3 linked regions of the Oreochromis niloticus genome follow. The protein of the gene in region 2 purifies or fractionates together with the protein of the main gene of each other region. This does not show direct contact. Links are inferred from orthologs where the notes say so. Each region holds a gene or a part of one and is shown on either strand. Other genes may lie near its edges.

The links. Proteins that work in one complex are often made in the same cells at the same time.
Region 1: the proteins of pogzb (region 2) and cbx5 purify together in Homo sapiens (affinity purification with mass spectrometry; 5 studies listed by BioGRID and IntAct, with this or other methods). This does not show direct contact. The link is inferred for Oreochromis niloticus from reciprocal best matches to the Homo sapiens genes POGZ and CBX5.
Region 3: the proteins of pogzb (region 2) and cbx3a purify together in Homo sapiens (affinity purification with mass spectrometry; 7 studies listed by BioGRID and IntAct, with this or other methods). This does not show direct contact. The link is inferred for Oreochromis niloticus from reciprocal best matches to the Homo sapiens genes POGZ and CBX3.

Annotation. Positions count from the first base shown.
Region 1 is NC_031984.2:19,129,093-19,136,847, reverse strand, and holds the start of cbx5 (chromobox protein homolog 5), read right to left. Parts: upstream 3,016-7,755; 5' UTR 2,894-3,015; intron 2,353-2,893; 5' UTR 2,307-2,352; coding exon 2,176-2,306; intron 1,824-2,175; coding exon 1,598-1,823; intron 1,380-1,597; coding exon 1,279-1,379; intron 649-1,278; coding exon 507-648; 3' UTR 1-506. Other genes in the region: hnrnpa1b (heterogeneous nuclear ribonucleoprotein A1), read left to right, coding at 3,703-3,717, 4,248-4,364, 4,477-4,623, 4,708-4,918, 5,010-5,162, 5,241-5,294, 5,385-5,501, 5,585-5,716 and 1 more; nfe2 (transcription factor NF-E2 45 kDa subunit), read right to left, coding at 7,369-7,755. UniProt on the Homo sapiens protein: Component of heterochromatin that recognizes and binds histone H3 tails methylated at 'Lys-9' (H3K9me), leading to epigenetic repression. In contrast, it is excluded from chromatin when 'Tyr-41' of histone H3 is phosphorylated (H3Y41ph).
Region 2 is NC_031976.2:38,269,721-38,277,391, forward strand, and holds the start of pogzb (pogo transposable element with ZNF domain), read left to right. Parts: upstream 1-4,638; 5' UTR 4,639-5,032; intron 5,033-6,198; 5' UTR 6,199-6,202; coding exon 6,203-6,317; intron 6,318-6,442; coding exon 6,443-6,523; intron 6,524-7,096; coding exon 7,097-7,335; intron 7,336-7,671. Other genes in the region: retinol dehydrogenase 12, read right to left, coding at 270-408. UniProt on the Homo sapiens protein: Plays a role in mitotic cell cycle progression and is involved in kinetochore assembly and mitotic sister chromatid cohesion.
Region 3 is NC_031985.2:25,229,692-25,237,580, reverse strand, and holds the start of cbx3a (chromobox protein homolog 3a), read right to left. Parts: upstream 3,016-7,889; 5' UTR 2,859-3,015; intron 2,244-2,858; exon of another isoform or gene 2,220-2,243; intron 2,085-2,219; 5' UTR 2,077-2,084; coding exon 1,931-2,076; intron 1,711-1,930; coding exon 1,554-1,710; intron 1,185-1,553; coding exon 1,090-1,184; intron 294-1,089; coding exon 167-293; 3' UTR 1-166. Other genes in the region: nfe2l3 (nuclear factor erythroid 2-related factor 3), read right to left, coding at 5,642-6,399, 6,521-6,998.

The sequences.
Region 1 (7,755 bases), on a different chromosome or scaffold from region 2:
TCCTGACTTAAAACAATAAAAAAACCATTTCATCCTTGTGGTGTCAGCTGGGTTCTTAAAAAGAAGAGGTACACCGTTTATAGCAAATTAAAAGTTGTGAACCCACAATGGAACACACTCGGTGTTAACACAGCCTGTACCAACTCTGATTTTCAACACTAACATAATCGTATCCTGTAAGCACTAAAAGAATGTGTTAAAATATTTATTTTTTTTTATTTTAAAAGAAGGTAAAGAATACAAAGACAGAATAGTATAAACTCTCCCCAGTAGCATATCACCCATGTCATCTACAGCTTCTCCTCCTGAATGATGGATCCTTTTTAGTAGTCTGGGCCCGTGTGCTCCAATGAGGCTTGGATGGAGATAACACAGTGTCCAAAATTTGTGTGTGTCATTGCTGGACATGGTAAAAATTGAAGGTTGGGAGTTTAGGATGTGAAAAATGTCTGACTCAAGGTTGTCCCTGCAGTGAAGAGGTCCCGTTTTCTCCTGAGGCGATACACTCACGCACTGACAGCATCCTTCTCCTTCTTGTCACTGTCTTCATGCCAGGTGAGACGTTCCTCATAGAAGGCTATGACAATCTGTGGGCACTTATGATTGGCCTCCTTGGCGAGAACGAGATCAGCCTCATCAGAGTCTTTCCTGAAAAGAGAAAGTTTAAAATCACCGCTTGGGTTTGTGTCTTTGCACAACCAAGATATAATATCTCCATTTTCATAACACTTGCAGCATGCAAATTTGGTCCAACTTGTTAAAATGTAGCAAAAGATTTCACACATTACAGTAATTACATGGAGTGCATTTAAATTTAATCTGCTGCAAGTTATTATTAAAATTATAACTTAAAACAATTTAAAAAAAAAAAAAATGGACTGTGCAGGTTTCTGTGATAAATTAAACATTACTACAACTATTATCTGATATTAACCCTTAAATGGGGCTCAACCAAGCATGAGCAACAATGTACTACATTTAATCCCTCAAGATAATATGCAATTACATAAAGCTTTATGGTGTGGTTAAACATAGGCCAGCTAAGCTATAAATGCTGCTAAAGGCAATTTACAAATAGAAATATCAGAGTGTAAGAGCTGTCCTTTAAAAAGAATTATGTCAGTACAGCTGCATATAGTAGAAGAACTGCCTGAATCTGGGGCAAAAGGTCATCTGTATGGTTGTGCATGTAAGAAGATTTCTACCATTAGATGCATTTATTGATCGATTTCACACAAAAACTAAAGGCAAAATTAAATCAAGACTTTCAGAACCTACCACTTCATAAGAAACATGAGGTCTCCACATGAGTCTGTTGCTCCAATGATCTTCTCCGGCTCAAGTCCTCTCTCAAAACCGCGTGCGACAAGAATGTCATCCTGAAAGACCCCAAACAAAATTACTTTAGAAATCTGGATTTTGTATTAAACTCTTGAATTTACACCAGCTGTCTTTAAATGTAAACAGTTTCAGTTTCCACACACTTTAGATATAAATGCGTTGTGCTACCTAAATGTCAAGTAAAAGAAAAGGAAGCTAAATGCGGCACATTTCAAGATATAGACATCCTGCTTCTGCAGCAAAAAATAGTTCTTACCTCTTTTTTCTTCTTGGGCTTACTTCCACCTTCCTCGTCATCGTCAGAGCTCCTCTTCTTTGAGCTGCTGGAATCTTTGGCGCGTCCAGAGGACGCCGTGTTTGATTTGCTGGCCCCACTGCTTGGTGTGGAGGTCCCACCACTGCTTTTCTTGTAGGTCTTCATGAATTCTGCAATAAGCTCAGGGCAATCCAAGTTTTTCTCTGGTTCCCATGTGTTGTGCTTGCTGAGAAAGAGCACAGAGTAGAAAACTCAGTGCAGCCTTAATGCACCAGTTCGGATTGGAAACTGCAAGATATGCTAAAAAATTTGAGATCTTGCAATGTTTAAAACATTGTAATCTAATGGTACTTCCGTGGTCATTACTGTCCTTTAGATGGCAGAGCATCTGTGTCTAAGAGAGCTGTTCTGTTGTGCACTGGGTGCATCTTGTACCCGAGTGTTAGGTTTTAGAAATCTCCAATAACCTACTCCAAAATGTGACCAACTGTTTACAACATTTAATTTTAATAAAGATGCAAAAGAGTTTTGACTATGGAGCTTAGGACCGTGGTGAGTACATTTATTTAATTACTTACTCCGAGTATCCCTTCCACTTTAGGAAGAATTCAACCCTTCCTTTCACCACCCTCCTGTCCAGCACTTTTTCCACAACATATTCTTCCTCATCAGAGGATGAAGACTCTTCTCCGCGAGACTTTTTGCCCATGGTAAAGTTTGGTGCTTAACACAACGCGGTTGCAGGTGACACTTCCCTGTTTAGAAAGAACGGAGAAGCTCACGTTAAAGATATTTGAGTTTTGATCGCTCTCCCACTAGTTCTAGTTAATAAAAACGCATCATTTTAAAAATAATAATAATAATAATAATGGCTACACAGCCACATCACAATCGCAAAGCATCCACAAGTTACAGATCGGTAACACTTTAACATTAGCTAATTAGCCGCCGCTAGCAAGATGGCTATCATATTTCAGCGAGAGGCATAATATCGTCATCGCTTGTTTAATTGCAACATGGAACGTTAAAAAGGCCAACTAAACAGTGCAGCTAAACATCCTGATCGCCATCTACTCGTTAAAACGGTGAAAAGTCGGTCACTGTTACTACTAAAACGTGCAAGTAGCAAGGACGACGGCTACTAGCTGAACGGTGCTAGCAGCAAAGCAAAGGAAAACTTGCTACAGCAGGTAGCCTGCAAGCAACCGCTAAATCGAGCTAAACAACTATGCTATCAAACCATGCGCCCATATCTACAGCACCATGAAACTCGACATTGCAAGAATAGTGTCTTACTCTTCTGGAGGTTCCAACCGTCGATCTGTACCCGTCAAACCCTGTCTTTGTGGACGAGCAGCGAGGCCAACCTTTCAGCTACTTTAACAGCTAGCCTCACACACACACAAAAGGTGCTGTGCGCAAAAAAAAAAAGCGCGCGTTAAAAGCGCACAATAACTGACCCCGCCCCTCGGTCAGCTGATGATCAACAGATAAAGTGGTTGAATGTGCTTCTACCATGTTTTTAAGTTTATTCTGTAACAATTTGGAATATTTTTTGTATTAATACGTGCACACTCTGTATAGAAAATATTTTTTCTTTGATAAGGTGTGTATGTTAATGTGGGAGGTAGGGCTATTGCTGTACAAGGCAGCTGTGCTTCCGCCCACAAATCGAAAACAGAATCATTTACGGTTCGTATGATGTTTAATCTGAAGAAAATGCCCGTCTTCCTTGTGTTTTCCAGGAAAATAACTTACCGAGCTGTGCAGACTGTATGCTTACTGACTTAAAGGCGTTATACACGATAGACACGATACCTTCTTGAAGTTTTCCCTTTCACATACAACAACCATAATCCATTTTTTCATTGTCGTCATTGTACACCAGGTGATTGGACGCTGGTAATGATTGATTCTACATAGCCCAATCAAGATCGAATCACTGCGGACGACAAACTGCAGCGGGAATAGCTGTCCAATTGCTGTGCGACAGGGGCGTTACCGTTGCTATTTATTGTACTGTTGACTAGCAGGCTACACTCGTCTGACGCAGATCTCGGCTCTTCGCTTGTTACACAACACGTCTTCAAGACTAAAGCTGCAACATGTCGAGAGAGAGTGTGAGTACTGGGCTCGGGAGTACTTATCTGTTATTGTATACGTTGTTTTATGTTAGGGAAGGTAGGATATGAAGTTGCTGCATGCTTTTTATTCTTAGTACAGTCTCCGGTTTGGGTCGTAGCTGCAGTAGCTTTCCTGCATTGTAACGCCGCCATTTTATAGCAGCCAGGCCTCGTGGCCTTTTGTTCTTGCAGATGAGCTGCAGTGGAAATTTAGGACTTTAAATCAACATTTACGATGGAAAATTGCGCTTAAATGCTACAGGCATTTAAATCACGACCGACTCTGATCTATAACTACTTCTAAAACTTGACCTATTCGCTGGTCTTCCAGCGGTTTTGCTAACGTTAATGGCGGCGGTGTGTCCCTCCTCCACACGCCCTGAATTTTAATAAGGGGCGCAGGGAAGGATGTATGTACACGGTGAACAGCGTTAATTACTACCCGATTTAAAGTGATTGTGGTATTACATTAAAGCCGACATTGGAGCAGCTAATCAGATGTTATCGCATTGCTTTCTGTTGTATAGGTCCCACGTGAGCCGGAGCAGCTCCGCAAGCTGTTCATCGGAGGCTTGAGCTTCGAGACGACAGACGAAAGCCTGCGTGCTCATTTTGAGCAATGGGGGACCCTTACAGACTGCGTGGTAAGTCGTTTCATTAAGGATGTAGTCTTGTTTGAGCAGTCACGATTTTGCAAGAATGTAGAGCATGTTGGTACCCTGTGTATGAGCTGATCCAAAAGCACTCTTCTTTCAGGTCATGAGGGACCCCAACAGCAAGCGATCCAGGGGTTTTGGCTTTGTAACATATTCATCAGTGCAGGAAGTTGATGCTGCCATGTCAGCCCGTCCCCATAAGGTCGATGGAAGAGTGGTAGAGCCGAAACGAGCGGTTTCCAGGGAGGTGTGTAACAACTGGATGAGGTGCAATTGTTCTTGCATTCAAAAGGCGCATAGTGATTACAATAACAAATATCTTTGATTCCAGGACTCAAACCGGCCAGGAGCCCACATAACTGTGAAAAAGATCTTTGTTGGAGGCATCAAAGAAGATACAGAGGAGTCACACCTGAGGGATTATTTCCAGCAGTTTGGCAAAATAGAAGTCATTGATATCATGACTGACCGCAACACTGGGAAGAAGAGGGGCTTTGCCTTTGTTACGTTTGATGACCACGATTCAGTTGATAGGATTGTCAGTAAGTACAGAAGTTGACTTTTCCCTAGCTGCATGTTTTGTCAGAATTTTGATTGTTGGCTAGCTTGTTTACAAAAAATCGCTTTCCACAGTCCAGAAATACCACACTATCAACTCTCACAACTGTGAGGTGAGGAAGGCCCTCACAAAGCAGGAAATGCAGAGTGCGGGAATGGGTATGGGAATGAGAGGAGGTCGCAACACTGGTGGCAGGCCCTACGATTACGACAGGGGCTTCAATCAAGGTATGGCTTATTTTGTTGATGGTGGAGTGATTGATTGTTATACTATGTGATAGCAAACCTTGTGTTTATCCTATTTAGGTGGCAGAGGGCGATATGGAGATGGTCCTTACAATTGCAACGGAAGTGATGGTGGTGAGCATGGTTTTGTTGTGTCTTCCTATTTTCTTTGCTTTTTTTTTTTTAAACTCTACAGTATATTTTAAGGCTGTCTTATATATTTAGGCTATGGAGGCGGACCTGGTGGTCCTGGTGGCTATAATGGAGGTAACCGTGGTTACAACCAGGGCTACAACCAGGGTGGTGGATATGGAGGAAATGGTTATGACAGCAATGGTTATGGTAAGATAATGCCATTTCACTGCCTTTTACTAGAACTAGAACTTGCTCGAGGTTGACCAATGTTATAAACTCTGTAATCGCAGGCAATTGTGGTGGTGGTGGAGGCGGCGGTGGCGGCAATAACTACAACAACATGGGCCACTACGACCCCCAGGCCTCTAACTTTGGCCCCATGAAGGGCAACTTTGGTGGCGGCGGCGGCGGCAGGAACTTTGGTATGAGTTCCCAGACTTCACAAGTAAATGCGTTTATTGTACGCTGGCCTCGTGTAGGTTTATACTTTGTTTTTTGCTTCCAGGTGGATACGGAGGCTCAAACAACAGTGGCTATGGACGTCCAGGACGATTTTAAAATGAGAAAGTGGTAAGAGCTTGAGAGCATGCCTTAAGAGTCTTTTAATGTAAAACAACAGCTTGTGGTGAGCAGGGAATCATTGAGTGCAGATAACCTTTAAACAAATTCACTCTGGATGTCAGGTCACAAAGTCAGTGCACAGTTAACAATGTTGTTCCGTATTGTTCAACAGGACTGAGTACTTAGGAGAGGAGAGCAAGGAGAGGAGAGCAAGCGAAGTGACAGGGCAACTGCAGGTTTACCTCCTAAATCTGCTCAGCCTATGAGTTGTGGCAGGTTACAGCTGCTGCAAGAAGAGATGTACAGTAGATAAATCATGGAGGGCCTTCATTTAAACATTTTGTGTTATGTTTTTCTCTTTTTTTTCGTCAATTGTGTTAATGGAAAGCAAGCATTCCAATGAGGTTTTGTGTAGATCTTTAAGTCTGGTTTTTATTTGTAACTGCATCAAATCAAGCTGAAATAAACACCTTTCAGTTTTTTTAACAGTCTCGTTAGCCTTTTCAGTGGTTTTGGGAAAGGGAGGGTTTACTATTAGGTGAAAATGGGTCGAGCCATATACATCACAAGGTGGCCGGGGAAAGTCAATATCCGTGTCTCCTACATGCTGCCTCAGGTCAGCGCATATGCAATACTGGTTAAGGGGCGGGCAAAGAAATGGTGCGCAAATGCCATCATCAGAAAGCCCATCACTTTGGTACAAGCTCTGCCCTGATTTCTGCAAAGATCACCTGGAGAATGCTAGCTTACATGCAAAGTCTATGAGGCTAGCCATGGAAGCAAGCTGAGGGAGAGAAGTAGCAAAACCATCGCCAGGATCATTGAAGCAGGGGAGAGTGAGAACAGAGGCCTGAGTCTAGCAGGCAGCAGCTACCAAAAGGCTTAAGTGCTGTTTGTAGGTAAGACCAGACTTCTCAACTACTGATGGTATATCTTGCATTTTGTCATGTAGCTGGTAGTGAGATATGTAGCCCAGTAATAATTAAGTTTTATGACCATTCTACTTTTTGACTTAATTTGGCCTCCAATTGTGCATTGAGGCCCAACATACTGCATGCTATGAAATGAGCAAATATTTTATATTTTTGGGTTATTGTTTTATTTATAGTATTTCTCCTTTGTAGGTAACTACATGGACCCCAAAACCTGGCTTCATTTCTGTGACAATGGTTTTTGACAGGTAAAAATCATTACTTGTTTGTATTTTTAGTTTTTTTAAATTTGAATTAATATGGTTTTCCCTTCTCCCCACAGGTTGGCTGAAAATTCATGCTGGTGCTCAAAATATTTTAAGAAGACTGCTGTGCAGTTTTAATTTTTTATAAACTTTTTTTAATAAAGTGTTTGTATAAAAACAAATCTCTGGTTTCATTCATTAACTGAACATGAAAAGTGTCCATTTATACATTTATGAAGCTTAACATGATTCTTTTGACAACTTCCTGCATGAATCAGTCAAAGTGGCACAATCGGGTAGAATGTTCTCCAGAGTAAAGAAATTATACCCAGTTCTTCAGCATTGCTCTCTCTTCTGCATTGTGTGAGGTACCAGATAAATTTTACCATCGGGTGTCTGCTGTAGAGAATATTCATCTATCGAGTATGGTTGTCCATCTTCATCTCGTAAATGAGAAAATACTTGCGTGTAAAGATCTGTAAGACGACATTTAATGAATGCCAAGCTGCGCTGGAACTCTAGCCTTTCTTGTGCCAGGTGTTCCCTTTGGGCCTGCAGCTGATTCAGTTCCCTTTCAAGGTGAATTATGCTCTCGAGCTTCCTCTTCCTGCAGTTTTGAGCTGCGACCTTGTTCTTCCCCCTTCGTCTAATGTCTCTGACCAGTGCTAGTTGAGCATCTGTCAGAGTATACTGTGTCAGGAGCTCATTGAAGTCATCGACAGG
Region 2 (7,671 bases):
CAGCATTTCTGTTTCTTCATGAACTCTGCGAGGACTGGAACACTGACATTAAACTGCCTAAAACACTTCTACATCAAATCTGACTCCGCATATAAGCTCACAGCAGCAGCGGCTTCAGCTGTGGAACACATCTGGACCCCGAATGCAGAACAACCAAGAATGTATTTGTCCGCATGCAGGTCAATGGCTCTTTGTCTGTATTATTAAATCAGATAATATTTTGGGCTGTAATGTAACACTGTTTGAATTGATGAGAAGTTAAATCTTACAGATCAGCGTGACTCCCAGCAGAGCTCCACATCTCAGCATCAGGCGCCCCTGACTTTCCTCTCCCAGGGCCGGGTGTGAGCTGCCGCCGTCACCGGGCCACGGCAGCACCAGGAAGCCCCCAGAATGTGCAGCTTTCATCCCTGAAGGTCAGAACAGACTGAGAGGGAGCTAAACCAGACGGAGGAAGGAGAGATTAACAGATTAGAGGAGATTATCCAGCACAGAGCTGCTCTGAAATCAGTTCCACGTGCTGGGAAGGAAGGATCACAAGTGCCACCAGGAACCACCACTCTCTGCCATGGGCAGGAAAACTGTTAGTGATGACAGCAACGCCTCCAGCACCAGGACACGGGGGCTCCCCTAGGATGTGCTCTTCACTCTGCTGACCCACGACTGCACACCATCACACAGCTCCAACTCCGTCATCAAGTTTGCAGATGACACAACTGTGGTAGGTCACATCAGCAACAACGATGAGACCTACGACTGGAGTGAAGTTAAACATCTGGCCAAGTGGTGCAGCAGCAACAACAACCTGTCCCCAAACGTGGAGAAGACTAAGGAGATCATCATAGACTTCAGGAGAACTCACACCCTGCACACCCCACTAACCTGCACACTAACTATTGAATCTGGCACTATTAGATTCAATAGAATACATCACAAATTCCATAGACAAAAGGCAATATGTGGCTGGGTTATTCATAGACTTGTCAAAGGCATTTGACACTATAGATCATAATATATTAATAAGAAAACTGGAACGTTGGTGTCAGAGGGGTAGCTTTAGATTGGGTCCAGAGTTATTTAGGTGACAGGAAGCAGTTTGTGAAATTAAATGGTGGTTGTTCCTTATGTATGGACATTGCTTGTGGTGTACCCCAAGGGTCAGTTTTGGGTCCAAAATTCTTCAACTTGTACATTAATGACATCTGTAAAGTGTCCAAAGTATTAAAAATGGTTCTCTTTGCTGACAATACAAACATTTTTTGCTCTGGTGATGATCTGCAGAATTTATTGGAGGATATGACTAATGAAATAAGTAAAGTGAAGTTCTGGCTTGATAAAAACAAATTATCATTAAATTTGAATAAATCTAAACTTATGTTATTTGGAAATAGTAGTTTAAATACAAATGCAAAGATTGAAATAAATGGTGTTGATATTGAAAGAGTCAGTGAAAATAAATTTCTGGGGGTAATAATAGATGAAAAACTTAACTGGAGAGCTCACGTAAGATATATTCATTCCAAAGTATCACGAAGCATTGCAATACTAAACAAGGCAAAGCAGGTATTAGACAGAACATCCCTTCATATTCTCTACTGTTCACTGGTTTCACCATACTTAAGCTATTGTGCAGAGGTCTGGGGCAATAACTATAAAACCACATTACATTCACTTTTTACTCTTCAAAAAAAAGCAATTCGAATCATCCACAATGCAGGTTATAGGGAACATACAAACTCACTATTTTTGCAGTCAGAAATATTGAAAATGGATGATCTAGTGAAATTCCAAACAGCACAAATTCTATTCAAAGCAAAAAATAAAGAACTGCCAGGTAATATTCAGAGTATGTTTTTTTTGAAAGAAGGAAGCTATAATTTAAGGGGTTTTTGTAACTTCAAAACAGGGAAGGTGTGAACTACAAGAAAAGGCTTTTGTGTTTCTGTTCATGGGGTGAAACTATGGAACAGTCTGAATATGGAATTAAAGCAATGTCCAAACATAAAACAGTTCAAAAAGAGTTATAAAAATATGATCTTCTCGAACTATAAAGAAAAGGAAAATATTGAAATTAAGTGAATGTCTCCATTTAAAAAAAAAAAAAAAAAAAAAAATATATAAAAATAAATAACAATTAAAAAAAAAAAAAAAATTCATGATGTAACATTATAGCATAAAGTAGATCAGAAATCTGTTCACTATTTCTATTACAAATTATATCAGTAAGGAAGCTGACTAAATATTAACTGATAATTTATGGCAACGGGGTGGGATTAAATAAGTGTTTACTTCTTCCCACTCCCTTTCAACATGTAAATTAATCAGAATGTTCTTTGGGGGTGTTTTTGTATGTATTTTGTATAGTGTATATATATATATTTTTTTTTTCTCTCTCTCTTACTTTTTTTTCTAAATGTACCTGTATATTGTTCACATGTTGAAATAAAAATTACCAACCAACCATCAACGGTGCTGCTGTGGAGAGGGGAAGCAGCACCAAGTTCCTGGGTGTGCACGTCTCTCCTGGTCAAAGAACACAGCATCGTGGTCAGTAAAGCCCAACAGCGACTCTACCTCCTCCTCAAACTGAGGAGAACGAGAGCCTCAACCCCCACTATGAGCACCTTCTACAGAGGCACCACTGAGGGCATCCTCACCAGCTGCATCACTGTGTGGTGTGGCTGCTGCACTGAGTCTGCAGGAAACAGCTACAACAAGCAGTGAGAGCAGAGGAGAGGATGGTAGGTGCTTCTCTTCCCTCCCTCCAGGACATCTACTGCACCCGCCTCACCCGGAAAGCCCTCTGCATCACAGGTGACTACACCCATCCGTCCAACAGCTTCTTCAGTTTGCTGCCATCAGGAAGGAGACTGAAGAGCCTCGGGGCCAGAACCAGCAGACTGAGAGACAGCTTCGTCCATCAGGCTGTCAGGATGCTGAACTCTCTCCCTGCTCTGTCCCTGTCAACCAGACCTGCACCCACGTCTTCCCTCTGACCCCACAGTGCCCACAAACACTCAGACTGTGTTGGACAGTGTTGTGTGTATAAGACTTTTATCTTTTATGTTGTTTAGTGTAACACTGAGGGCCGTGGGAGCCCTGCAGTTTCAAATTCCTGTGTATGATCTGTACATGTAGTTTTTGACAATAACGCTGACTTTGATGACGCTCTGCTCTTTGGTAAACAATAAAATGAAATAAAATTACAATAAAATCGCTAGATAAGACATATAACAGTCCTGCTCTCAGCTCAAGCTTCATCCCCTGGTGAGGTCTTCATTGGATCCGCTGCAGTTTGCTTGCCTGGCATCGGGGTGGAGGACGCCATCATCTACCTCCTGCAACGAGCTCCGACTCACCTGGAGAAGCCTGGAAGCACTGTGAGGATCATGTTCTTTGATTTCTCCAGTGCTTCTCTGACCGGTGAACATCCAGGGAGTGGACATTGAGATAGTGGACTCTTATAGGTACCTGGGTGTTCACCTGAATAATAAACTGGACTGGAGCCACAACACTGATGCTCTTTACAGGAAGGGTCAGAGCAGACTCTACCTGCTGAGGTGGCTGAGGTCATTTGGAGTACAGGGAGCGCTTCTAAAGATCTTCTATGACTCTGTGGTGGCATCCATCATTTTTTACAGTGTTGTATGTTGGAGCAGCAGTTTATCGGCAGCTGAGAGGAAGAGGTTGGATAAACTCATCAGGAAGGCCAGCTCTGTTCTGGGATGCACCCTGGACCCAGTGCAGGTGGTGGGAGACAGAAGGACTCTGGCCAAAATAACATCTCTGATGGACAGAGTCTCCCACCCCATGCATGGAAATGTTGCTGAACTGCAGAGCTCCTTCAGTGACAGACTGCTGCATCCTCGATGCATGGAGGAGCGTTTCCGCAGGTCCTTCCTCCCTGCAGCTGTCAGACTGTACAACAAAACTGCTCCCAACAAACAAAATGTTCACATCAGCGCTGTAACTTGCACTATTTTATCAACTGATTCACACTACAACCTGGGTTTGCCTCTTATCTGTATTTAATTTAATAACTGTACAGTACTCTGTTTTTGGTAACTATTGTCCGTGATGTAAATATGTAAAAAATTGTGTATGTTTCTGTTCTGTTCTTGTGTACTGTTTGTTTGTATATGTGTCTTTCTTGCTGCTGTTACATCCAAATTTCCCCTTGTGGGACAATTAAAGGATTATTCTATTCTATTCTATTCTATCTGCTCTGTCCAGTAAACTGTACTAACCAAAGTCAAATTTATATGTCTCCAGATCCACACTCAGCACTCTGTGGGTGTTTATTTTAGAGACCACGGGGGCCCAAACTGTATGTTATATTTATATGTAACGCAGGTGCCAGGGTGTAGTTATTTTATGAAACCTTCTCTGTGCTCTAAACTGAAAATGATTTAGAAAATACACATTTTAGATTTACGTTATTTGTCCGGAGACGCTCTGGAAAACTTCTGGTTCATTATGACATCACAGCGTGTCACAGGAAGTTCAGTGGGCGTGCCACTGTGTGGAGACCTGCAGCTGAAAGGTGTGCCTCACCTGTGTGAGTTACTTTTCTCTGAAGCACAAATACCAGAAAAAAAAACTTGTTTTTATTTATTTTTTTAATGTATTTTACTACGCGCTTTTTCAGCTCGTGACGTCACGGATATTATTCACGCCCCATCAAAACAAAACAAAAAGAAGATGGCGCCCTGGCCCGAGCGTGGCGGCGGTACTGGCTCCTGTCGGCCTCCCCGCTGACCGGCCGCGGTGCCGGCTGACCCCTGGCCCGGGCCTCCGGGTCTGCCCGCCTCCAGCCTGAGAGCAGCGGCTCGGCTCAGCGCCTCCACAAAGATCCCACTGACCAATGAGCTGCAGGGACGCCTGAACAGGAAGTGATGTATCTGTGCGGCCCAATCGGCGGTTGTAAAAAGGCAGCGGGCGGAAGGCCCGCCCCCTGACTGTCGAACCGGAGCGCGCCTCGAGAAGAGCCGTGCGAACCCGTCCGAACTCCGTGGTGCCGCTCCAGCTTCAGGTAAGCCCGGCCCGGCTCGGCTCGGCTCGTCCCAGTGTCACACGCAGGCCCCGCTGAAGCTTTCGGGAGGCGCTCGGTGTGCAGCGGCGAGCTACCGCTGGTGGGGCGGTGCAGACTGAGTGCGCGCAGTGCGTGCTGAGCTCGTGCTGAGCTCGAGAGCCCGGTGACCCGGCTCGGCTCAGCTGGGCCCGCACGGTCTGTAGGTTCGGGTCCCCGCCAACAGGCGCGTCTCAGCCGGGTTCAAAGGAACAAAACCCGGAGAGCGGGCGGAGCGCCCCCTGCGGCGGGAGCTGCCATTACACCTGCAAACTACAACTGATTGAATCCAACTTTATTTAAAAAGATTTACCGACATCAGAGTTTGTACAGAGCTGCTGTTGTTTAACTTCACCGTCAGCTGAGCGAATGAAGGCCAGCGTTTATTAATCATACCACTACTTTATTTAAAATAAGAGCCGTGACAAAGAGACGGAGTACAAACGGCAGCAACAGAAAACATCGAAACGTCACAGTGACCGGAAGTCTGTCCACACTAACGCCACTGCCGTGATTGTGCGCGTGATGAGCGGGGTCAGGTCATCCTGATCAGTGTGTTAGGCAAGCGCAGGTGTTTGACTGAAACTGCACAGATGTCCTCATTTGAATCATAAATGTTTTAAATAAACCGACTTCTACTTAAACCGGGACTAAACTGAACAGCTGTGAGGTTCACTGACACAAACACGCCCTGTGAGTCTGTGATGCTGATTAGCATCAAACCTGATGGGACCCATCCTCAGGCTGTGAACACACCACAGAGTATTTCAGCTGATTTGTTCTGTGTGCGGTCTGTCCCTTCAGTCTTTGTAGTTTATAGTTTGCTGTCACTGCGGTAACGCTGAGAGGCGACTCCGCCTTTCTCTCATTGGTCTTTGAGCTCATAGGTGTTCTCTGAAACTAAACACACTTGAATATTTACAGTTAAAGTTACCAGTGAAAAGATCACCTGCTCACCTGGCTCTCAGGTAAGCTGCAGGTATGCAGTACCAGGTGGGACTTTAATTTGACAAAGCCCTGCCCCTTTTAAACATTTGATCGTGAATGTCATGTGATGTAGTGGAAATGTTGCTGGTCAGATTTTTCTTTCATCTTGTTTACAATGATGGTTTCTCTGGTGGTTTCCATAGCAACATGGATACAGAGTTGTTTATGGAGTGTGAGGAGGAGGAGCTGGAGCCATGGCAACAGGTGGATGACAGTGTGGAGGAAGATGACATGGACTTCATGGACAACTATGGAGAGCCAGGTGAGTCTCAGAACCAGATCCTGGACCAGGTCCAAACTCTAAAACCAGTTCTGGACACTCTGGACCTGAACCTGAACCCAAACCCTAAAACCAGACTCTCTCTCTCTCTCTCTCTCTCCATGTAGTGGAGGATTCTCCGTCTCCTCTCCCAGTCTCTGAGACTCCACCTCCAAGGACCTCACCACCCATCACACCTGCTGCAACAGGTATGTGTTCAGTGTTTCTTTGAATACCTGATGACACCAACCGGAGCCCCAGACATCCAGAAGTCCTAAACTGAGTTTGGATGATCCCAAAGCACACAGACGGCGTTTTCACTCGGATGCTTTGATCTTTGATCAGTTGTGTTACTGTAGACTCTTTAACTTACAGGATGACTGTTGAGTGTGTGATTTAGCACAAGATAAATAAAGCTGAGTTTACAGGTATCATCAGGTTCAGGTGTTGAGCGTGGCCGCTCTCTGTCTGATGTTCATGTGTCAGAGCAGCAGAGCTAACACATTGTGGAGGAAAGGGTCAGCAGGTCAAAGGTGAAAGCAGCAGACCTCTTCTCTGGGACAGGCAGAGCTTCAGCAGCTTTGTTGGAGAACTAAACATGACGATGTCTGAAGCTCGTGTTAAAGCTGAAGCTGATCCTGGAACAGCCTAAAGCGGCAGAGACGCAGTGCTGTGTGCTGAAGGTGTTCCTGGGATGTGGAGGAGCAGTCTGTGCTTCTGCTTCCCTCTGTAAAATCTGAAAGAAAGAAAGAAAATCTGCTAACCGATTCTTTCTTCTTCAGCTTCATCACCTGCCCAGGTCGTGTCCTCTTCCTCTGTGATACCTCCCCCTCCTCCCTCTATCGTTACCACCTCCTCCTCTGCCCCGCGGCTCCCTCCCTCCGCGGTTGCCTCCACGGCCCCGCCCCTGATGGCTCAAGCTCCACCACTCATCCTGACTCAGACAGCGGGTGGAACATTTCTACTTCCAGCAGCCACCGGCACCGGCAGCAGCCAGCCCATCCTGCTCACCACTACGCAGGTATGGAAATCAAACGCACCCTGTGCTGCAGCAGGTCAGCCAAACCAAACGCTCCTCTGTAAAGTTACTATAACGTGAGAGTAAAGTGTAACATAACATGAAACGTACATGTGTACTATAACATAATAAATTAAACCATGAATAATAATCCAGAGTTTAGGCTCTGCCCTTTAAAGCCTGACTGCAGCGTTTTAAAGGGCGGAGGAGTGATTTAGTGTTTTGCTCACGATTACTTTAAATCATGATCTTCGTTATTTTGTAAGCCACTCCCTGCTGTTCAGCTGGACCAAGGGCCGGTGTCCTGCTGGTTGTGGATGTGTCCTTGAGCCAACACAG
Region 3 (7,889 bases), on a different chromosome or scaffold from region 2:
GAACTCTCCACGACTGCCATGCAAATGTTGAAACTTCTTCCAAAACAAAAAACAACAACAAAAAGACTAATTTAGCTAGACCTAGAAGGCAAGTCAGGAGAAATCCAGTCCTGAGGAAAAGGTTGACGATGTTGATGTAGGCAACTGCATGGGTTGCAGAGAAGAACTACTGGGCTTCATCCTCTGGACAGGAATGCCAGGTCAGTCTCTCCTCATAAAAGGATATGACCACCTGAGGACAGCGGGTGTTGGCCTCACGGGCTGGGACCAAATCTGCCTCATCCGAGTCTTTCCTAAAAGAAGGCAGATTGAGAGAGAGGAACATTATAGAAAGCCAGCATAAGTTAATGTACTTGAAATCAACTAAGTTTATAAGTTGAGAAAAGTTTACAGCAGGAACAGACTAGACAGTGGCAGTTTCATAACTGTGGCTCTGTACACCATGTAGCAAAATCTAAGCAGTGAAAAGCAACTGAAGTGTAGACACTGAGATTCAAGTTCAAGGGTTTAAGAAAAAAAATTTAGTGAAACAAAGGAAGTTCCCGATTTTTAAGACCTCAAATGCAAACAACAACTTAAATATAAATAAATTTAAAAAAAAAAAACAAAAAAAAACAAAACACAACCCTCTTGCAGGAAACAACTGAAGCCTTGGACATCAGTTGCTGACTGGTGTGTATCCAACAGGGAGAAAGACTTTTTTTCTCCCCTTCCACAAATAAAATGCATGGTTATCCAAGTAATTCCACTCAGTTACACTTCCTTCACTTTAAACTTTCTTTGATTGGTATTACAGTATTTCAGGATAATTATTTGTACTGTGAAGGATCCATTAATCATAGCACTCAATACTTTTGAATTCGCTGGCCGTCTATCTTCGTAGCATAAAACACCAGTGACTCACTGTATACCATGCACATCCGTCCTATGAATTACACTGCCTTCACAGTAACTAGATTAACAAAACATTACTGCGCTAAGGTCTTGAACTAACACTCATTTCATTATATTTTGCTTCCAAGGACACAGATTTCCAACCATCCAAAGAAAGGGCTTTACAACATCTAGAAAATATTTTTAAAAATGTACCATTTCATCAAGAACATCAACTCCCCACTACTGTCTGTTGCGCCAATGATTCGCTCAGGTTCGAGGTTCCTAGCAAAGCCACGTGGTTTCTCAGCCTGTAGGTGGTTACAACAGAGAATGTAGCCATATAAGATAGGAAAGACAAAACAACACATTTTGATTCATTTAAAATCCTTGCATATTCTAGCATAAGTTCAGAAGCAGCTGCATTTCAAGAGTATAATGCACAGTTAAATGTCTATGTACAAATCCAGCTGAGCACAAATATGATTATATGTATTATGTATGTATATACCTATGTATGTATTATGTATATAATACATTCATTTATAATAATGCTCTTTTTTGTTTAAGTTATGCAAACTTTTCTCTGAATGGCCCCCGTGTTAAGCTTTGCTGTCCTAAATTGAAATTGTCTTTAGGACATGCTAATTGCAGAAACGTGTGAAAGCAAAGAAATTCACCACATCTTTCTTCTTAGGTTCTGTCTCTGGCTCTTCCGTGGAGGCCTTCCTCTTAACAGGCGCAGGTTTCTCCTTAACGTTCTTCTGAGCCTCCAAAAATGCTGAAATCAGCTCAGGGCAATCCAGGTTCTCCTCTGGTTCCCAAGTATTATCAGCACTAAATGAGCAGAAAGAGAGTCAACATTTGCATTGCACCAATTCACACTGATTTCCATTTTAAAAAAAAAAATGCAAATACTAGCATCAGCTAGCTTGCTTGAATAAAGGTACCGTCGTCATGCAACCACAATGACTTCAAACAAAAGTATAGCACAACCCCATACCAGGGAAGCACTTCCAGCTCAGCAGGAGGGGGGCAGGAGTCCCAGCCAACTCACTCTGTAAATCCTTTCCACTTGAGGTAGAATTCTACTTTCCCATTCACAACACGCTGGTCCAGCACTTTTTCCACAACGAATTCTTCAGGTTCCTCCTGTGTTTCCTGTGTATCCTTCTTACTCTTGGTATTCTGCTTCTTTCCCATTTTGTGATCTAAAAACACAAACAAAAAACGGAATTCGATAAGAGTTTGATATTAACAAATCCTTCACATTCATGTGCTCCTGATATCCACATTTAGGATTGGCCATAGGCCCTAAAGCCGCTGTTCTGGCAAATCCATCCTACCTGGCAAACCACACCGCCACAGACACCTGGATCGTAAACGAATTTAAGTGTGAGGACTGTTATTTGCCCATTAGGGTAATAAAATTAGGCAACCTTGACAAAGGGACGACCACCAACGGGAAGTAAAACACAGCATTAGCTAGCTTAGCGATAAACTCTTAAAGTATTCAAAGATACCCAAATTCTTATAACGTTAGCTCGCATGCTAACTTTAGCTGGCCTTTAACCGTTAGGGAAACCCTACTTCACTTTTATCGTGTCACCTGCAATGCGGAGGGACTTAAAATAGGTGAGCTGGCACAAAAAAAGCGTGCGGGTAATGTTAACGTAACTTGCGCTAACAACAACGTACTCAACTTCAACGCGACACTCGACGTTTTACAAACGGATAAATAATGTTAAGTTCTAGGATACAACTACAGCATAACGAGGAACAGACACTGTTACTTTCGCTTGCCTGTTGACGTTAAAGTACTGCAACTGTAGTCAACAGATCGTTTCTCTCTCATTCGAAACAGCGTCCAAATGGTAAAACAACTGGTTAGCATATACTGCTATTTCGCTACAGTGAACCAATTAACTCTGACACCTCTGTTAATGATAACCCTTTTTGAAACAAGTCGGTATCTGCATACATACCCTAAAACAAGAGAATCGCTTCAACGGCACTTCTTTTCCACGCGGTCAGTTGATTCTTTATGTCTACAAGAGTGTGGCTGAACAGCACGGGCGCCAAAAGCTACTGACGCGCATACTTACGCGCATACTTGTGCGCATACTTGTGCACCATCTACGGAAGCCCGGTTGGAAAACGCTTTTCGCTCCCCAAAACCTGTAGATAATGAAGCCTAGAACTTTACATCAGGGATATCGAAGTCATTTTGGATCGTGGGCCACATGCAGCCAGTTTTGTTTACAAGTGGGCCGGACCAGTGTAAAGAGGTTTAATTACACGTTTAATATCCGCAAAATCTTAATATAAGAAAAAGAAGTGCAATTTCAACAGTATATCTCAGTTATTTTTGCATGATAAAGAAATGAAGCTGTATTAAATAGGAGAACTCAGTCAGCACGACTCTTTGGGCTTAGATTGTAGGAAATGCATGTGTAGTTAAGGTTGCTCGTTGCCCAGACTGTCCTGTAACTATAAAATAGAAAGGTTTTGTGTATTGATAATACTGTATCCTTATTTATTTATTTACTGTGAACCCACTGCAGAAATCAGAAACGTTTCTGTCATTTAAGTATTTTTGAAATCTAATATTACCTATGACTTACTCAAATTGGTGTGAATGTTGATGGGAGTAGGATTTTTATCATTAGGAAAAGCTGTAAAACACATGGAAATACAGTTAAAAAGTCCAAAATGTGTACCATCCTTTACATTTTAAAAAGCTGTCCAGTGGCTCAGATTGCATCCTTTGCCAGGCCAATTTTGCCCCTTGGCCTTATGTTTGACATCCCTGATCTAAATTCTATTGATGTTTTAAGACTGCATTTTCTTTCCATAATATGTTCCTATATGTTGATTTTAAAATCAAGGCCATTCAAAAGTATTTCAAAAGATTTATTTTTTATTTTAAAAAGTCTGCAGGAGCAACTCAAGTTCTGTAAGCAAATGCACACTTTGAAAAATCACAATGGAATCAAACACATTTAACTTCAGAAACAAAGCAAATATTTACGAAAATGAAATTCATACAAACAGCAAAGAAAAGGTTCAAACCAAACAAAAAAATACAAACAAAGGAAAAAAAAACTGAAAGCCACATAAACTACTTCATGGACTTTTCTCAATTTCACTCACTCAGCTGACTCTACTGCGCAGCATAACCAGGAACAGGATGGCAATCCCTATTAATACTTCAACTGTCAAATAATCTTATACATATAAAAAGGAGGCATCCAAACAACATTCAAACTTCTTAAATATGAATCAGTAATTTATTATTTAGGGTTTTTTAGCAGTTTGTTTAATTTGGGTGACTTTGATAATGAAGGATTTTTATTAAACAAGTGCACTTTAGGGAATTTCAGATTTTAGCCAGAAAAAAAAAACTAAACTGGGGCCTGAGAATCTAAAAATATCTCACAAGTACTTGTAAAGAAAGGAAGTTCAGTCAACTTGTTCTTCAGATTAATCATTGTTCAAATACTTTATGCATCTTTCTTCAGTTTACTCACTCAGGTGACTACTTGAAAGTGTGTACACATAAATAAGATGCGGACTTTTAATTCCACTTGATTCTACTCTCAGATAATAAATATTAAAAAAAACACAAACACACACATTCAAACAGCATTCAGACCTCTTAAATAAAGTTGGTGATTGTATTTTTCCTGTTTCAGAAATTGAATCTTTTATGTGTGATTATGGTCACATTTATAATGGAATCGTAGTTATCGAGTGCACTTCAAACGACAAAAAAAATAAAGAAAAAAAGCGGGGTGGGAGCTTTTTTTTTTTTAATGTAGCCAAAATTAACAAAGACTAAGCTGTGAGGTAGAATAATCTTGCCAAAAACTCTAAAACACTTCAAATGAAAGGGGTTAAATTATAGTTGAATTCTTATGTAAGAACTTTTTTGTTATGGATATATGCACTTATGTATGATGTACACACATATTTACCAAAACACATCAAATGCAAATTAAGGCCAAGTCCTTTGAGTCATTGGTATACTGCACGTCATCAAGACATGTAAGCAAAAGATATCTATTTCATTTTTTTTAATTTCAGTTTAATTTTTTTACTCAAACAGTGCATGCCCTCAAATACTGGGAACAAATCAGTAAACTTTGGACTTGTAATAACCCAATATTCTTATCACTCTGACCAAAGGTTACCATTTTGGGAGAGGGAAAAAAAAACATCCTTAACAGTTCTATAAGCATTTCAGGGACCTAAGAAAGTTTAATAAATACAATCCTTTAACCTCATTCTTATACCAAGTAGGAAAACACTAAAGGCAAGATTACAGGTAAATCCTCCTCTTAGATCTCTATCCTGTCTGTAAATATCACAATCCTGGCCAAGTTGACTTTTAGACATGTGTGATTGCCAACAATTTTCTGTAAAAATGAGAAAGACTATGACTTTAATGTTAACAGGCACAAAGAGACTGCTGGCATTACCAACAGCTTAGCTGTTCCCTTAAACTACCCCATCGGCCACATCCACCTATAACAAGAAGAGAATGTCCAGTGTGTGATCTACATTTTTCCCATCAAATAATGTATTTACATTTTTTTTTTTCATTTACTTATTTTTTGAGTGTCTTTTCTTTTTGAATTTAGGTTCTCAACAGTGGTGAATCAACACACACTTTTGCAAAAGAGGAGACCCTAAAACCAGAGTCAGGCAATTAGGTTCCGCAATATCCCAAAACCGAAAAGGTCAAGTCTCAGCAGGAAATGCTGCATTATTGCTTTTTTTCCTTCTTTCTCTTGTCTGTTTTGTTGCCAGATGTGGAGACAGCAGGTCGTCTTACAGGCTGAACTACAACCCTCCCGTTAGCCCCGCACTGCAGGGTGAATCTGTCTGGGTTCAGGGGTGTTCCTGATTCATCCCTCAGCCGGGACAGGATGTCTCTGGTCAGCTGCCTTATCTGATGGCCCACAGCACCCATTGTTTTTGCTGTAAGGTGCTTCTCCCTCAGCAGTTTGTCTCTTTGAACTTGCAGCCTTTCCACCTCCTCCTGGAGCCCAGTGATGGCATCTAATTTGCGCTTGCGGCAGTTTTGGGCTGCCAGCTTATTCTTACCACGCCTGCGGATGTCCCTCAGGAGGGTCACCTGTTCAGGGGAAAAGCCATGACCATCAAGAACTTCCAGGAACTCTTCAACAGGCATGTTAACTATCTGCAGGACAGAGAATGGCAGACACATAGCACGGGCGCGCAGCTCATCACGACTCAGCTCCCCTTCTTCCAGCCGAAATCCATCGTCATCGCTGAGAGGCTCCTCCTTGATGTTTTTGCGAGGCAGCGTTACTGACGGCTGGTTAAAGAAATTGGCAGATGAGTAGCTGTGGTCGTGCCACACACTCTCAACAGGTGGCCATGTTGTGGTGTAGTCAACAATGCCTTTAGAGGGGATTGAGTCTGCCTCACTGCTGTAGCCTGTAGCTCCACACTCATCCTCGCAGTATGAACTGGATGAGGATGACATCTCAGATGAGCCTGGACAAAGTGAGGAGTTAATGACTGTGTCAGTATATTTAACAGAAAATTTCTTAGCTTCACAAAACATAGAAATTAAGACATGCAACTTTTCCAAGTATAGAATGCAATCTGAACCAACCTGGAGAGACTGGACCTCCAGAGCTGCTCTCCAAGGAGAGACCAGAGTCTGACTCCAAGTCCTCAAGGACCTGTGGGTCTATGCTGTCCAGACAGTCCATCAGGCTGCTGTCAATTGAGTCCAGACCTTCCAAACCAAGCTGATTGATCTGGTCAAACACTGCCTCATCTAGGCAGCCACCCAGTGCACTATTTGATGACACATTTCCAGTTATGTTACATACTGAGGCAAAGGGGAGTGCAGCAAGACCTAGAGCCATCCCAGGTGAAGCATCTGAGTTTAAAGAGCCTGTGGATTCCATTCGAAAGAAAGCCCTTTGTTGTTGGGTCGTGGTCCTGGGCTCAGTTCTATCAGATGCCAACCCAAACACTCCAGGACTGGTTAGCATAGCATCATGCAGACTGACATTCCGGCTGATGGCGCTGGTGATGTCAGTGTCGAGATCTGACAGACGCTCAGTGACAAGGGGGTCCAAGTCCTATATTTTAGAGAGACCTGTTAGTCGAACTTTATTCTCAAAAGCTTTGAAAATCCTCTTAACCCTTTAAGACCTACCATAGAACCAAGTCCACCACAGTTTATCTTTATATTTTTACATGCTGTAGTGCCATTTTTGGGAGCATTTCAAGTTACTATACATCAATACAACCGTTATAGCCCAAACTTTAATAATATGTATGCATTAAGTCCATAGTAACTACATAAATTGCAAAAAAGTGCAATAAACTACCAAAAAATTGAAAATCATTTTTGGTTTTTTTACATATATTTCTAGTTAAAGAAATTTAAGAGGTTTATTCCTCAATACTGTAAATACAAAAAACTTGCACAAAATAGTTTCCAACAAAAAGGAAATTTATTTTGAGTGTCTTCATAGTTTTATTTTTGAAATACACCAATTTTTATATACTGCAGGAAAAACGAAAATAAATATTATGATGCAAATTTGCAAAAAAACAGCATGTGCATCAAAACAAATTATTTCCAGCAGTGCAATTTGAGTTCTAAGCATCCCAGAAACTATTCAGAAAAGCATGAAGTCAAACATGATTTTTAAAAACACCAGTATAGGCTTATAAGGCCCCGAAGGTAAAAAACTACATTTTTCCGCGAAAACTATGTCACTTCCGGTTTCGGGCAGGTAATGGCGGACATGCAATAGTTCGCGCTGACGTCTATTCCAATGTAGGAAGTGTTTTGAACAACTGATCAGATCGGCAAAGCGTGTTTCTGGAATATTATGTTTTTGTTGCTGCAAGTGCTTTTTAAGCAATTTTTGCAAAGCTATATGTGGAAGGAAACCGTGACCTAGGGTAAGCTGATGGCATAAGATGTAAGTACAACTCCTCCGGTTTCATATGCAAAAAAA